3 linked regions of the Yarrowia lipolytica genome follow. The protein of the gene in region 2 interacts with the protein of the main gene of each other region in a pairwise test. Links are inferred from orthologs where the notes say so. Each region holds a gene or a part of one and is shown on either strand. Other genes may lie near its edges.

Evidence for each region. The genes of interacting proteins can lie anywhere in the genome.
Region 1: the proteins of YALI1_F24635g (region 2) and YALI1_E22238g interact in binary tests that used the Saccharomyces cerevisiae proteins (3 or more experiments, as listed by UniProt). The link is inferred for Yarrowia lipolytica from reciprocal best matches to the Saccharomyces cerevisiae genes PEX7 and POT1.
Region 3: the proteins of YALI1_F24635g (region 2) and YALI1_C07451g interact in a two-hybrid assay, tested with the Saccharomyces cerevisiae proteins (2 studies listed by BioGRID). The link is inferred for Yarrowia lipolytica from reciprocal best matches to the Saccharomyces cerevisiae genes PEX7 and PEX13.

Annotation. Positions count from the first base shown.
Region 1 is NC_090774.1:2,221,531-2,226,071, reverse strand, and holds YALI1_E22238g (uncharacterized protein), read left to right. Parts: upstream 1-2,235; coding exon 2,236-3,480; downstream 3,481-4,541. Other genes in the region: YALI1_E22262g (uncharacterized protein), read left to right, coding at 1-768; YALI1_E22245g (uncharacterized protein), read right to left, coding at 908-1,127, 1,176-1,457, 1,511-1,572; YALI1_E22218g (uncharacterized protein), read right to left, coding at 3,848-4,249. UniProt on the Saccharomyces cerevisiae protein: Responsible for the thiolytic cleavage of straight chain 3-keto fatty acyl-CoAs (3-oxoacyl-CoAs).
Region 2 is NC_090775.1:2,461,680-2,466,189, forward strand, and holds YALI1_F24635g (uncharacterized protein), read right to left. Parts: upstream 1,910-4,510; coding exon 839-1,909; downstream 1-838. Other genes in the region: YALI1_F24615g (uncharacterized protein), read left to right, coding at 1-113; YALI1_F24649g (uncharacterized protein), read right to left, coding at 3,091-3,293, 3,338-3,446. UniProt on the Saccharomyces cerevisiae protein: Receptor required for the peroxisomal import of proteins containing a C-terminal PTS2-type peroxisomal targeting signal, such as 3-oxoacyl-CoA thiolase. Specifically binds to cargo proteins containing a PTS2 peroxisomal targeting signal in the cytosol.
Region 3 is NC_090772.1:742,985-747,435, reverse strand, and holds YALI1_C07451g (uncharacterized protein), read right to left. Parts: upstream 2,301-4,451; coding exon 1,062-2,300; downstream 1-1,061. Other genes in the region: YALI1_C07481g (uncharacterized protein), read left to right, coding at 1-675; YALI1_C07423g (uncharacterized protein), read right to left, coding at 4,009-4,451. UniProt on the Saccharomyces cerevisiae protein: Component of the PEX13-PEX14 docking complex, a translocon channel that specifically mediates the import of peroxisomal cargo proteins bound to PEX5 or PEX21 receptors.

The sequences.
Region 1 (4,541 bases), on a different chromosome or scaffold from region 2:
AGTCTGGGCGAAGACGAACAAATGAAGCTGATTACACAGACACAAAACGCCCAGCCGGGGATCCTTCTCTCGTCTTACGCCAGCTTCCTAGCCAATCAGGGCGCCAGCAAAAACTACTCCCATCTGCTGGGCCACTCCCTCGGAGAGTACTCGGCTCTGGTGTGTGGAGGCTACCTGACTCTCGAGCAGGGAGTGCAATTGGTCCAGAAGCGGGGCTACTACATGCAACGAGCCAACGACGAGAGTGGCAAGGAAACAGCCATGGTAGCATTGTTGTTGCATCGCACGGTTGACACCAACCGGTTGGTCCAAGCCTGCGAGGGCTGGAACGGAGCCAATGTGGCCAATATCAACAGCAGCGGCCAGGTGGTTCTCAGTGGCGAACGGTCCGCCATCAACGAGCTAGTTGCGCATCTCAAAGCCTCCAAACTGCGGGTTCTGAAGGCAATCCCCCTGAACGTTTCAGCGCCGTTCCATTCCGCCATCATGGCTCCGGTGGTGTCCGAGCTCGATGCGGTTTGTCAGCAGCTCAAGATCCGTCCCGATTTCAGCGCTGACAAGCCGCAGGTGGTATCCAACGCCTCGGGCAAGCCGTTCGGCTCTGCCGACGAGATGTACGAGTCCATGATCGGGTCTCCAGTGCATACAGTCAATTGGCTGGCTAGTGTGGAATACCTAAAACACGTCGGAGTGGTAGAATCGGACGGCTACGGTCCTGGATGTGTCGACATTGGCAAGATGGTGCTGCCAGGAGAGAGATATGACTAAATGGTCTGTCTGGTGAGCAGCTCAGGTGGCCCAAACGTCTCACGTAAGCAGAACCTACTACTGGTTCAGCCGTGAGACATCAGATGACGTTTACCAACGAACGCCGTTGAAACCGTGCTTTGTGTATATCATGTGTGCTCTATAATAGGATTTCGGTTGGAGCGATAACGGAGTTTGGACACCAGAGTTCGCGCATTGCACGATACACCAACGTTTTCACATTATCATGTAAAAAGTGTACATACATACTTTCACAAGATGGTCCAAGTACGATGTAGTGTTGTGCGACGGGTGTGTCTGTGTAATATGTTTGTCCAAATATATATAGGTCGTCAGTAGCCCAAGTTTCTGTTTCCCGACTCTATTTCCTGTCTGGTAGGCTCCTCACCTCCCCGTCACCTCCTCACCACCTCCTGACGTCATGATCGAGACGCTTATCGCCAGTAAAGCCGAACCGAACCGAATCCCCACAATACCCCACAGTGTGCATATCAAACCTACCGGTTGTTGCTCTCTCCAGCCTTACTAAGAAGGAGGCGACGTGGCAGTGGCTCGCGGGAGGATCGGCGGGAAACTCCGGGATATCCGTCGAGAGTTTACACGTGAATGGGCAGCGCAATCCGTTGACGACGATACGACTGGCAAAGTAGCGACGATACCTGCCAGACAGGTGACATGTGCAGGCCGCACTAACAAGGAAACGGGCGCTGGGGGGGCGGGCTTCTAGACTTTGCCCTTGAACAGGAATCTAGTGGGGGCTTGTCTTTCCGCCAATGGGGGAGCGCCTGTTGAGCGACCGTGCATGCTGGAACGCCAAGTGTATGTACAGCTGGTGGTCTCGCAGCGGTATGTGACGGGACTTACATCTCTCGTTTTTTCATGACCACGTTTTCACAGGCTCGGAGGTACGTTAAAGTTTTGAAGGCTGCATCTGAACCGAGGTATGGGGGAGTTTGAAGAGCAACAGTGTTGGGGCTGAGGGGGCCAAGATCGGGGCAAGCAAAGGTCTTAGATCAATTGTGGGGATCCCAAAGGGCCCGTTACCGCCTTCTTCCACCCAATTCGGGTCCCAATTGATCCACTACTGGCTTGCCCAAGTTACCCCAGAAATGCCGCCCCGGATTTCTCCAAAAACCTAATAAGCTTCATGGAACTTGGTGGAAGTGACTTTCTACAGAGTGGAGAGAACCGTGGACACGTGGCAATGGCGCTGACCGTGTCCCCGAGCCGAATCGACGTGAGGGGAGAACGGAGTATCTGCGGTCATGTGACCTTCCAGAGCGGCGTCGCCAGTGTGCACGCGGTGACCCCCAGTTTGGGTCTCTGTCACACGCATACTACCTCGGCTCTCCACATGCTGAACTTTATCTTTCGTGGGGATCATACCGAAAGTTGCAACTACCAGGTGTATATAAAGCCTGGTAGACTCCCCCCACTTTGGACCTCATCCAACCAAGACACACAAAAATGGACCGACTTAACAACCTCGCCACCCAGCTCGAGCAGAACCCCGCCAAGGGCCTCGACGCTATCACCTCCAAGAACCCCGATGACGTTGTCATCACCGCCGCCTACCGAACTGCCCACACCAAGGGAGGCAAGGGTCTGTTCAAGGACACCTCTTCTTCCGAGCTGCTCGCCTCTCTGCTGGAGGGCCTCGTCAAGGAGTCCAAGATCGACCCCAAGCTCATCGGTGATGTCGTCTGCGGAAACGTTCTCGCTGCCGGTGCCGGTGCCACTGAGCACCGAGCTGCCTGCCTTGTTGCCGGCATCCCCGAGACCGTTCCCTTCGTCGCTCTCAACCGACAGTGCTCCTCTGGTCTGATGGCCGTCAACGACGTTGCCAACAAGATCCGAGCCGGCCAGATTGACATTGGTATCGGCTGTGGTGTCGAGTCCATGTCCAACCAGTACGGTCCCAACTCCGTCACCCCCTTCTCCAACAAGTTCCAGAACAACGAGGAGGCTAAGAAGTGCCTGATCCCCATGGGTATCACTTCCGAGAACGTTGCCGCCAAGTACAACGTGTCCCGAAAGGCCCAGGACGCCTTTGCTGCCAAGTCCTACGAGAAGGCCGCCGCTGCCCAGGCCGCCGGCAAGTTCGACCAGGAGATCCTCCCCATCAAGACCACTGTTCTCGATGATGATGACAACGAGAAGGAGGTTACCGTCAACAAGGACGACGGTATCCGACCTGGTGTCACCGCCGAGAAGCTCGGCAAGCTCAAGCCTGCTTTCTCCGCCGAGGGAACCACCCACGCTGGTAACGCCTCTCAGATCTCCGACGGTGCCGGAGCCGTTCTCCTCATGCGACGATCTGTTGCCGAGAAGCTTGGCCAGCCCATCCTTGCCAAGTTTGTCCACTGCAAGACCGTCGGTGTTCCCCCCGAGCTCATGGGAATTGGCCCCGCTTACGCCATTCCTGCTGTCCTTGAGGACCTTGGTCTGACCGTCAACGACGTTGACGTTTTCGAGATCAACGAGGCTTTCGCTTCCCAGGCTCTGTTCTCCATCCAGCATTGTGGAATCGACGAGTCCAAGGTCAACCCCCGAGGTGGTGCCATTGCTATTGGCCACCCTCTGGGAGCCACCGGTGCTCGACAGTTTGCCACTCTGCTCTCCGAGCTTAAGGAGTCTGGCAAGAAGGTCGGTGTCACCTCCATGTGCATTGGTACCGGTATGGGTGCCGCTTCTCTGGTTGTTGCCGAGTAAATGTACATACAAGATTATTTATAGAAATGAATCGCGATCGAACAAAGAGTACGAGTGTACGAGTAGGGGATGATGATAAAAGTGGAAGAAGTTCCGCATCTTTGGATTTATCAACGTGTAGGACGATACTTCCTGTAAAAATGCAATGTCTTTACCATAGGTTCTGCTGTAGATACTTGTACAGTTGCAGACCAGTTGGAGTATAGAATGGTACACTTACCAAAAAGTGTTGATGGTTGTAACTACGATACGGGATCCCCGCTGATATGCCTAAGGAACAATCAAAGAGGAAGATATTAATTCAGAATGCTAGTATACAGTTAGGGATGGTGAGTGTTGGGTGATGCAGGGGAGGTTGTCGAGCGGTTCACTTGAGTGCGTCCCGCTGTTTCATCAAGTGCATTTCAAGAATCCCGTTGGCCATGTGCATTTTGACCTTTTGCGGGTCGATTTTGACCGTTGGCGGAAACCGCACCGTTCTCTGGAAGGAGCCGTTGTGTCGTTCTCCCACCATGAGACAGTCGGACAGATGTGCAAAGGGGTTGGTGTAGTGGCCACTGATGGTCAGGCTGTTGGAGTCTGCGTCGTAGGCGGTTTCCAGGTCCGCCGACCGCACCGCCGGCAGACTTGTCACCACAATGTACATGTTTCCCAGGTCGTAGATGTCGACTGGTGGCGCGAATGGGTCAGTATGGGAGTGTGGGAGAGGAGTAGCTGGTGGCGAGTGGGCCAGGTCTGTTTCGGCATAGTCGGGCATTACAAAGGACATGGGGAGGGCGACGGGAGGCTTTTTGAGGAGTTGAAGAAGAGCTGGGGAAGAAATCAAGTGTCAAGCTTGAAAAAATCGGCTTTTCCATCTCAATTAGTTGCCTACATCGAGCCCATCAGAGTTCATGCACATGCAATGACCTCACAAGACACTGGCATAATTATGGCAGGGCTAATTTTAGCACTCCTCTGACAAAGCCGATGGGCGATGATAAACGCTGTCCACCATCTCGTGATCTTGCGGTTCCACTCCAGGGTATGACCAATCACGGCTGTGTTGCCGTTTCAGTGGG
Region 2 (4,510 bases):
GTTTTCACGGATTGGACGTGGATCTCCGGCGGTCTCGGAGTGACAAAGTGTTTGATTCAATTGAGTACATAAAGGATCATAATCATATGACGGAAGGAACTGTGGAAAACTAAAGAATTGTCTCGGTTCAAAATGTAACACTTGTATGTCGTCTTGTTAGAGACTCCAGATAAGAGTGTGTCAAGGTGAGCACAGTCTGAAGTGATGGTCGAGGGAGTCAAAGATATTCGCTGGTTGTTCCAGGCAGTCCAAAGTGACGCCTGTTTGTTCCATATCTCATTAACAGTCCAGAAGTGCTACAGCCAAGTCTTTGGTGCTCGTATGTCCTCTGAGGCATGCCTGTTAGGATGCTACTATTGATCTACAAGCGTGAAACCGTCGGGATGTACTGTATCTAGACTAAAGATCTCATTTTGTAAGAGTACAGCAGTTTCAGCTTCTGTAAATAACCGAGTGTATCTACTTTTCCGTCACTATCGTGGAGACAAGATAGGACGCAACCTGCGCTACCAGACAGAACATAATCAGACCCCGTATGTCGACTCGTGTGAGACAATAGTAATGACTAAGACTATATTCCCTGGGTACTTCTACTAGTAGTGCGTGATGGCCACTCACAATGGTACGAGTACATACGTACATACACTGTCAGTAAAAAGCTCGCTAGGAAGCCCTACAAGCACACCTCACTCTGGTCGGCACAAGTACTCGAACATTTGGATTGTAGCTCGACTCTCGGAAGATACAACGTTGTAACACCCCCGACTATACTGCTCCAACACTATACTGCTCCAACACTTACCATGTTAATCATGCATTGCACTATTGTTTCTATTGTTTACGCATGCCAAACATAAACCATCTGGTCCCATCCAACGGTGGTGATCCATCCAGGATCGCCCCATAACGACCAGTCGCCGCCAATAACGAACTCTGTGTGTCTGTCCATGCATTTCACTTCTGTTCCACCCCGCTGTCGAGCCAGATAGTTGCCTCCAGTGCTAGCGTCCCGCCAAACTCGAGCAGTCATGTCGTAAGAACACGACAGCAGCAAGTCGGCATGATGCGGTGACCACGAAACTCCTCTGACGGGTAGTCTGTGGCCCAGAATCAAGCTCAATGGCTGAACGGGTTGGTTGGCTGCAGGTTGAGTCATTCGGATATCGTAGACCTGAACAGACCGATCAACGCCACCTGTGGCAATCACTGTGGGTCTGTACTTGTTCCAGTCCAGCGACAGAACCTCTGGTGGTCCTCCAGACTCGGTTTGCTGCGTGGAAAACTGTTGCTGGAGAGGCTGGGGTGCTCGAGTGTCCCACACCTTGACCATTCCTGTGGAGTGTGCGGATGCAATAATCGAGTCTGTGTGAGGCGAGAATTTCGCCGAATAAATGCACTCCTGGGCTGCTGCCTGGTTGGGGGCCGTCTGACGGCCAATGTGAGCTGAAGCGTTTGTTCCCTGGGCCGGAGCAGGCTGGCCAAGGGTCATGATGGAGTTTGTACGTTCCGGCGTCCAGATTTTGATTGTAGAGTCCCATGAAGATGTGCAGAAGAGCGCCTTGTTGGCCATGTTCCAGTTGACAGAGAAGACTTCCCGTGTGTGCTCCTTGAACGATACCAGAGGGAAGGCACCGGCCTTGATGTCGAACAGCTTGACTGATCCGTCTCCGCAGGCGGTTGCCACGTGGTTTTCATGTTGCTCGGACCACGCGACATCAAAAATGCCGTCCTGGGTGTCAAACTGGCCTTCGCAGACCATGCGGCCCTCGGGAGAGATGCCCAGAATGAAGAGTTTTCCGTTTCCGACCAGCCCGTAGTTGGCCGCCGTTCCGACCGCAATCTTGTCGTTGAAAAACGGCGAGTAGTTGGCCGCGTAGCCGTTGAATCCCTGTGTTTTGAATCCCAACATGTGTAAAGATGTGATTTGTGTACTAGAGTGTGTAGAGTAGGTGAGTGTGATTGAGTGTCAGTGCTTGTGTTTCGGTTGACTTAACAAGCAATTCCAACAGATTCAATGTCGTCGCCCTTGACAACTACCATTCCAACGTACCGCTGATGGGTACGAACTCCTTTTCTGCTGCGAACCTCGCTGGTGTCAGTGAGAATGAGATTGGCCTCGTTGTCGATGGTGATGAGGCGGCCGAAAAAGGTGCGCTGGTCGTCTTCGGGGCTGCTGTCGCTATCTGGCTTCACGGCGACTCGGAGAGGTTGCGAAATGAACCTGTTGAGCTGAGTCTGGATCGAAGACATTACTTTGGGTGGGGGAATGAGTGAGAAAAAGTTAGGTGTGTGAGTGGGTTAGGGGAGTGCAATCTGGTATCGCAGTGTGGATTGGTGGTGGCGGTGGCGTAGGTCACTTGTCGTGCTGTCGGAGTGTAGGAAGCGGATGCGTACTCTTTTTGGTATCGAGATCACTAGCACAGTAAACCAAAGCTGTCGCTCAAACTTGACTTGCCCTATTTATACTGTAAGATGTGGGAGTGGGTGTGTCTCCCACTGTTGATTGGGTTCACACATTGAGGGGGTGCCTGAAAATTAGACCGGGTCCGGACTGTACGCGGTCATCACGTACAGTACTTGTATAAAACAAAATGTCGTGCTTGTAGGGTGGTTTCTGTGTTACTAAGAGAGAAGAACAAAAAAACACACTTCAATCACTCTCTAGTCTCCCAGAAGTGCTTCCATCTCAAACTCCTAATCAATCTCATCTCACTGTTTCCCAAGGTTAGACTCTCAAGCATCCCAAACCGCCTTGATTTTGAGATGTAGATGTCCCCGTGGCTCGAGGAAGTGATGGTTTAGTGTCGGACGTTGGTGTATTTATATTCTTAACAACCAAACGTCACAACCCCTCTGTCGTTATACTCCTCTTGACAACGCACGTGTGGAGTGGTATGGAGCAGTTCAACCCAGTTATGATTGGTCTTTCGTGCAAGTACCTACTGTACTGAGAAGCTTGGGCTCAATAACTTGGGCACTTATACACACACAAGTAAAGATCTATTTACTTCACGAAACGTGTACAGAAACGTGTACATAACGGGCACATAACGGCTTCTCTCTCTACTCGCACCAATCCTAACCTCATTGTCAGTCCCTCAACCTCGGCTCAGCCATGCTAACGGACGTGCATTGAAGCACTGCAGAATACCATCTGCTTCGGTCATGTATGTACAGTGTGTACGATACTGTAGGTGTTGAATGTGTTTTTTTAAGCTGGGAGCGGTGCGTGTAGTGAGAGAGATGTGCTGTTTTTTCAGCACTCGTGCAGTGAGTAATGTACATCACACGTACTCGTACTCGCACTGGTTGTGAAACAGTAGAAGTTCTATTGTACAGTAGTGTTGAGTTTTGTTAGCTTTAGTTGGACATGCGTTTAGCTTTCGAGACGACAGAAACCGCACCAGAAACCCGAATGGTGAGCATGCTCGCCAAAAGAAAGCCATCGGGCCATTAATGGCATGACTGCGTCCTATATAACATCAAATCACTCACTTAGATTCAACCCAAAGTTGGTTTCGTCTCGACCCACTTTGAATCAAAAGTGACGTCACCTCTCCAACCTTGCACCACCCAGTCAGAAGCGGAGCCTGTCTGAAGATGGGTACAAGATATCGTCCCATCAACAAGACGGATCTGACGGTGTCACCTGTGCGATATAAGTACTCGTACTAGAACCAAGACAAAAACTGCCGCATCTGACCGTCTGTCTCCTCACCGACCTGAAACCCACGGAACCTACTCGACTTCAACCACTAGCTACTCTGAGCGAAAAACCGGCCGCCGTCTCTTGTCTGTATCAAAATGCGGTCTGCGGCTCCCCATGTCTCACTTTTCAAACTGCAAGTGAAGAGCGGCGAGAACGAATGAGGAGCTGTTGGAGGTACGCGGGACTTGTCTGTAGACGGTGTGGAGGACGTAGGGGAAACTATTTGCACCCCGAGCCGTCCAGCATCTCGAATGCCTCCTCGTTGGCTGTCTCAGGTCTATTGGCACGGATCCCAATTTGGAAACACATCACCTTTTTTCATTCAACCCAAAAGGTTATCAGTGAGGCTATTTTTTTGGACGAGACGGGCCTGATCCGAGCCATGGCAGTCATATTCGAGGCATAGCTGTGAAGACATGTACGAGGACAATGCGAAATTTGCATCTGTATCCACATCCGGGCTCTTTGAGAGCAACGCACGCTCAGTATTTCTACACGTACATGCACAATCGTCGACATAAACTACTGTACTCTGAAGATCACCGCAAGCAAATGTCACTAGCTACAGCTACGAGTGAGATACCACCACAGGGACGTGGAATATGCGACTCCGATCCACTCCCGCTAAAACAATGTGTCCAATTATTCCGAAACCTGCTTTTGGACAGCTGATGGCCCGCACGTTGCATCTACTTTTTGCCGCGGCCTACCCCGGCAGCAGCTTGCATTAATCCGTGCTGGGCTGGTGGGATCGGGTCGAATGGGAGTGACCAAGACAAGAGATGCAAACGGGTCCGAGTC
Region 3 (4,451 bases), on a different chromosome or scaffold from region 2:
GACTCGTTTTCGTCCTTCACCTCTCTTTCTTTTGCTGCCAAGTCTGTTCTGGAGGACAATGGCTTGGCACAGGTGTTCCCCGAACCCAAGGAGCCTGCAGGCCAGAAATTTGAGCTTAGTGAGTCTGCATCTCAGATCTACGCTCTTCTGTGCTCGGTTCCCACTTCGGAACTCAACTTTCTGAAGTCGTTCACTCGACGACTGCTTCTCAAAGACGTGGGGGTGCCTCTGGATCTTGACGAGCTGCTCCCTCGCAAGGAAAAACAGCATTTAGTCATCAGACGAAGCCGTCGGTCGCTGGACAAGACGTCCAAGTCAAGAGATAGCACTGATGGAAAGACGCCCCCCGGCGGCTCTCGAGCGGCCACCCCGACTCCTACAGACTCGTCACGTGCCCAGACGCCTGTGACGGTCGATACCGAGCTCAAGCTCGACTCGTGGCTACGGCTGGTGGAGATTCGGCCCGAGCAGCGGGAACGAATGGAGCAGGAAGAGCTTCAGGAGCTGGTCAACCAACTCAAGACGGCCAACTCCGAGGCCAAGCTGCTGCTCAAGCAATGGGAAGACAAGCTGGCGCTGGGATACAAGAACAAGGAGGCGTTTGAAGCTGTTGTGGAGAACATGGTCGGGTTTGCCCAGAAGCAGAGATTGAAGAAGGGCGGTAAGAAGAAGTGAACAGAGTGCCCCGTGAACGGAGTGAACAGAGGTTGGAATAACGAAAACAACAACTACGACAACGACTACGACAACGACAACGACAACGACAATGACCACGAATCAAATAGACAAATATTTATTGCATACTACACAACTGACGGTTGGAATGTCAGTAGATCTATCCAGGTGCTTGGATTTGCACCAGAAGACCAACAAGTTGGTCAACTGATCGTATGCCTTTAGATATGCTCGTATAGGCACTTGTAGATCCACCAATCTCCCTCAGTTTGTATTCAAAAAGTGCAACCAGTGGGTGCATTTGATTACGTCGCCATCTACGCGTCCAAAACGGTGCAAGGCAGTCGCACCAGTATGTGTGTTTACATATGCAATAAATATCATGTCTAATTAACGGGAACGGCACTGGCGCCAATCTCCTCCACCTTCTTGGGAGCCTCAACCGCAGGCCGAGGAATCACTTCGAGGTAGTTGGCCGGCACGTATCCGCTTCGGCCGTCCCGAGTTCGCACTCGCCACCATTGCGAGGGGTTGCCCATGGGGTCTGTCTTTGCGAGAACCGCCACCAGGTCGCCCTTTCGCAGCTCGAGCTCCAGCTGAGGGTTCTCGGGCACAAAGTCAAAGTTGGCCCGGCAGAACTCCAGCTTGGAAGGGTCGATTTCGGCGCCACCCTCCATACCAGGGCCGCCCATTCCCATCTGGGCACCAGGCAGCAGGTTGCCATGCTCATCGTACATGCCCTCCTGCTTGGCGGCCAGCGCCTTGATCAGCCGACCCAGCAGGTAAGGCAGACCAAAAACGGCCGTCAGGAAGAAGAGCAACGGCTTGTACGAGGGCCGGGGACCTCTTCCGGGACCCGCCGCTCCGCCAGTAGCCTCGAACTTGGCGAAACCGGCAGGAGTGATGCCGTTCGCACCGGTGACAGGCTGGCCAGACAGCTTTGCCACCAGCCGGCGGGCCCACCGCATGATGGCGTAGATGCCGAGCAGCGAGCCGAGGGTGTTTTTCAGGTTGCCAAACTGCTCTGCAACAGAGACCATGGCGAAGAAGGACGACTGGGTCGCCATGTAGGTGGACTCGAGCATCTGCGCGAATCCACCCACGGCTCCAACGATGCTTTCGATCAGCTGGAATGTGGCCTGGGTACCTCCTGCCAGACCGTTCTGACCCATGGGTCCGCCACCCATACCTCCGTATCCTCCGTATCCCCCCATGCCTCCGTACGAGCCGTAGCCTCCATATCGAGAGCCGTACATGCCTCCCATGCCGCCCATTCCTCCGTAAGATCCGTATCCACCGAGTCCCGAGCCGTAGCCGGAGCCATACGACGAACCCATGCCGTATGATGATCCGTAGCCGGAGCCATAAGACGAGCCCATGCCGCCATAGCCCGAGTTCATGCCTCCGTAGCCCGAGTTCATGCTAGAGCCCATAGGCGAGCTCAGGGCGTTGGAGGTAGAGCCCATGGCCGAGGGTCTAGACGGCAGTTCGGGGGCTCCAGTTGCGCTGCCGGCTGAAGACGACACGGCGTCTGTGGAGGCCGGGGTGGCTGTTGCCGCCGGTGTCGCGGTGGCTGCGGAAGAGCCAGAGGCGCCTTCCCATGGTTTTGGTCGTGGCACGCTCATGTTTGCCTTGTGTTGTGTTGTGTTGTGTAGTGTAGTGTTGTGTAGTGTTTTTGAGAGAGAGCTGTGTTTGTGTCGCTTGTGTCGCTGTCGTCGTAGCTGCTGTTTTTGTGTCGCTTGTCTACTGTAACTCGTAGTTTGAAGTGTCCCGTCGTCAGTTATAAAGACTGTGCAAATACAAGGGAGAAAGTTGTGGAGAGATTCGGAGGAGGGTGAACTCAAACGAAAGTGGTAGTTTAGGGTTTATACGTTGGATTTTGACATTGAGAACATTGTAGAACAGATGTCTCCAGAACGAGCTGCAGCGGTCCTAGAGAGAAGCCGGAACCTCTGTTGGGATCACGTGATCTTTATGGGTGATATTTCCGCGTGAAATCCCCCCTTTTCCACCTTCAACGCCTCCAAGAACTCCCTCTTTTCTCTCTACTTTTTCACAAGAGTGGGAAACCTTATTTTCATGCATGTTTTCCCCACGTTTACCTCGGCAAAAATCACGTTGGCGGGGTGCACCGTGTAGGGTAACTAACGGCCGTGCATACACCGAGGCGTTGGTTCGAGGCGCGGTCCAGCACTTTTGGACAGTTGGTGGTTTCTGTGCGAAATCGGGGAACTGGCCAATCAGGGGCGAGTCTTTTTTGCATGTTTCTTTTTCGGAAAATCCGATTTTGCTCTCCAAGCAACCCTAACTTTTTGCCACCAGTTTCAGAAGTTAGCACCGGATTATTTAAAAAAAAATTGAAAAATGGCGAAAAAAAAATGGAAAAAAAAAAACAGAGAAAAAAAAGAAGAAAAAAAAACCGGAAAATCGGAATGAGAGAATGTGAAGACAGTGACGTAGAAGATGGTGAAATACACAAGACGGTGAGGTACAAATTCACCTGAAGTCCCAGTACAAGGGTACACTCGTATTTGCACGTATAGAATTTATTTAATTAATTAATTAATTAATTAATTAATTAGTATGTCGGAGTTCGACTTGTGAATCAATGTACGGGTACAAGTACGAGTACTTGAAGTGATGAATGTCCTAATCTGTACAACCATTCTAGAGACTGTCGCATTCATGGCATCGGGCTCGGATTCTTCCAGCTCCTCCGTGGAGTCAGAAACCGCCATCTCTTCAGCAACATGAGGAGATGAAAGACTACCTGTAGTAATCACTCAAGATCCTGCAAACTGCAAGTTGGATCTAGGAGATTCTCGGCGCAATGTCTTCATCCCAGGCTTAGAGACTGGATCGGTAATCTGGTCTCTACTTGCTCCAAGACGCGTTTACATCCAACTCAAGAGCTAGGACGGAGAGGAATCAAGTTGATACCACTGTTTTGACACTGATATGGTTGCTCTTTTGGTCTTTGGACTCAGAAAACAGGTACTATGACGTCTGTCAACGGTGGAAGGAGAGCCTGGCACCGCATTGAGTTCCATTATCAAGTTCAAGGGTTGGAGCTTGGACGAGGGTCGGACAGGGGTTGGATTCAAATGCGCGAGGCGGTACTGTATGTACTGTACTGGAAGGTGTCAGGTCTCATGTCTCTCGTCTCTTCTACTTGTAGTCTTTCTTCTTCTCATACACGTCTAATACACGTTCCTGTTAATAATCCATTCTATTATAGTCGTAGCAGTTGGAGTCACTTGGGCATCTCGTTCCAATTCACTCAAATCCCCCCAAGTAACGGTCACTGCTTCGCATCTCGCAATGTTGAGCTCGTTAATGACCTCCAGTAGTAGGCAGACCGACCGACAGCTTGAAAGTATCGTAAATGAGCCACTGCATACCGGTCAGGGTACCAATCATGAAGATTCGCACCGGCAGACCGTTCCAAAGACCCTTGAAACCAATTCGCTTGTAGATTCGCTCCACGGTCTGCAGAGTGGACTCGCCGGGCTTCTGCTCACTGTTGACCTTGGAGACCATGACGTCGGCGGGGTGGGAAATGACGGCACACAGAATACCGGCCAGGTAACCTCCGGCAAAGGAGACTCCAATCTGCTGGGCGGTGGAGAAGTCCTTCTTGGGCTTTCCGAGATACTCGTAGATCTTCTCGACAATCTTCTCGAACGAAGCAAACTTGACCATGGTGTAGGGGATCTGTCGGAACCAGAGGGGACCCAGACCCTTCCAGAGACCGCCCAGACCCTCGGAGGCGACAA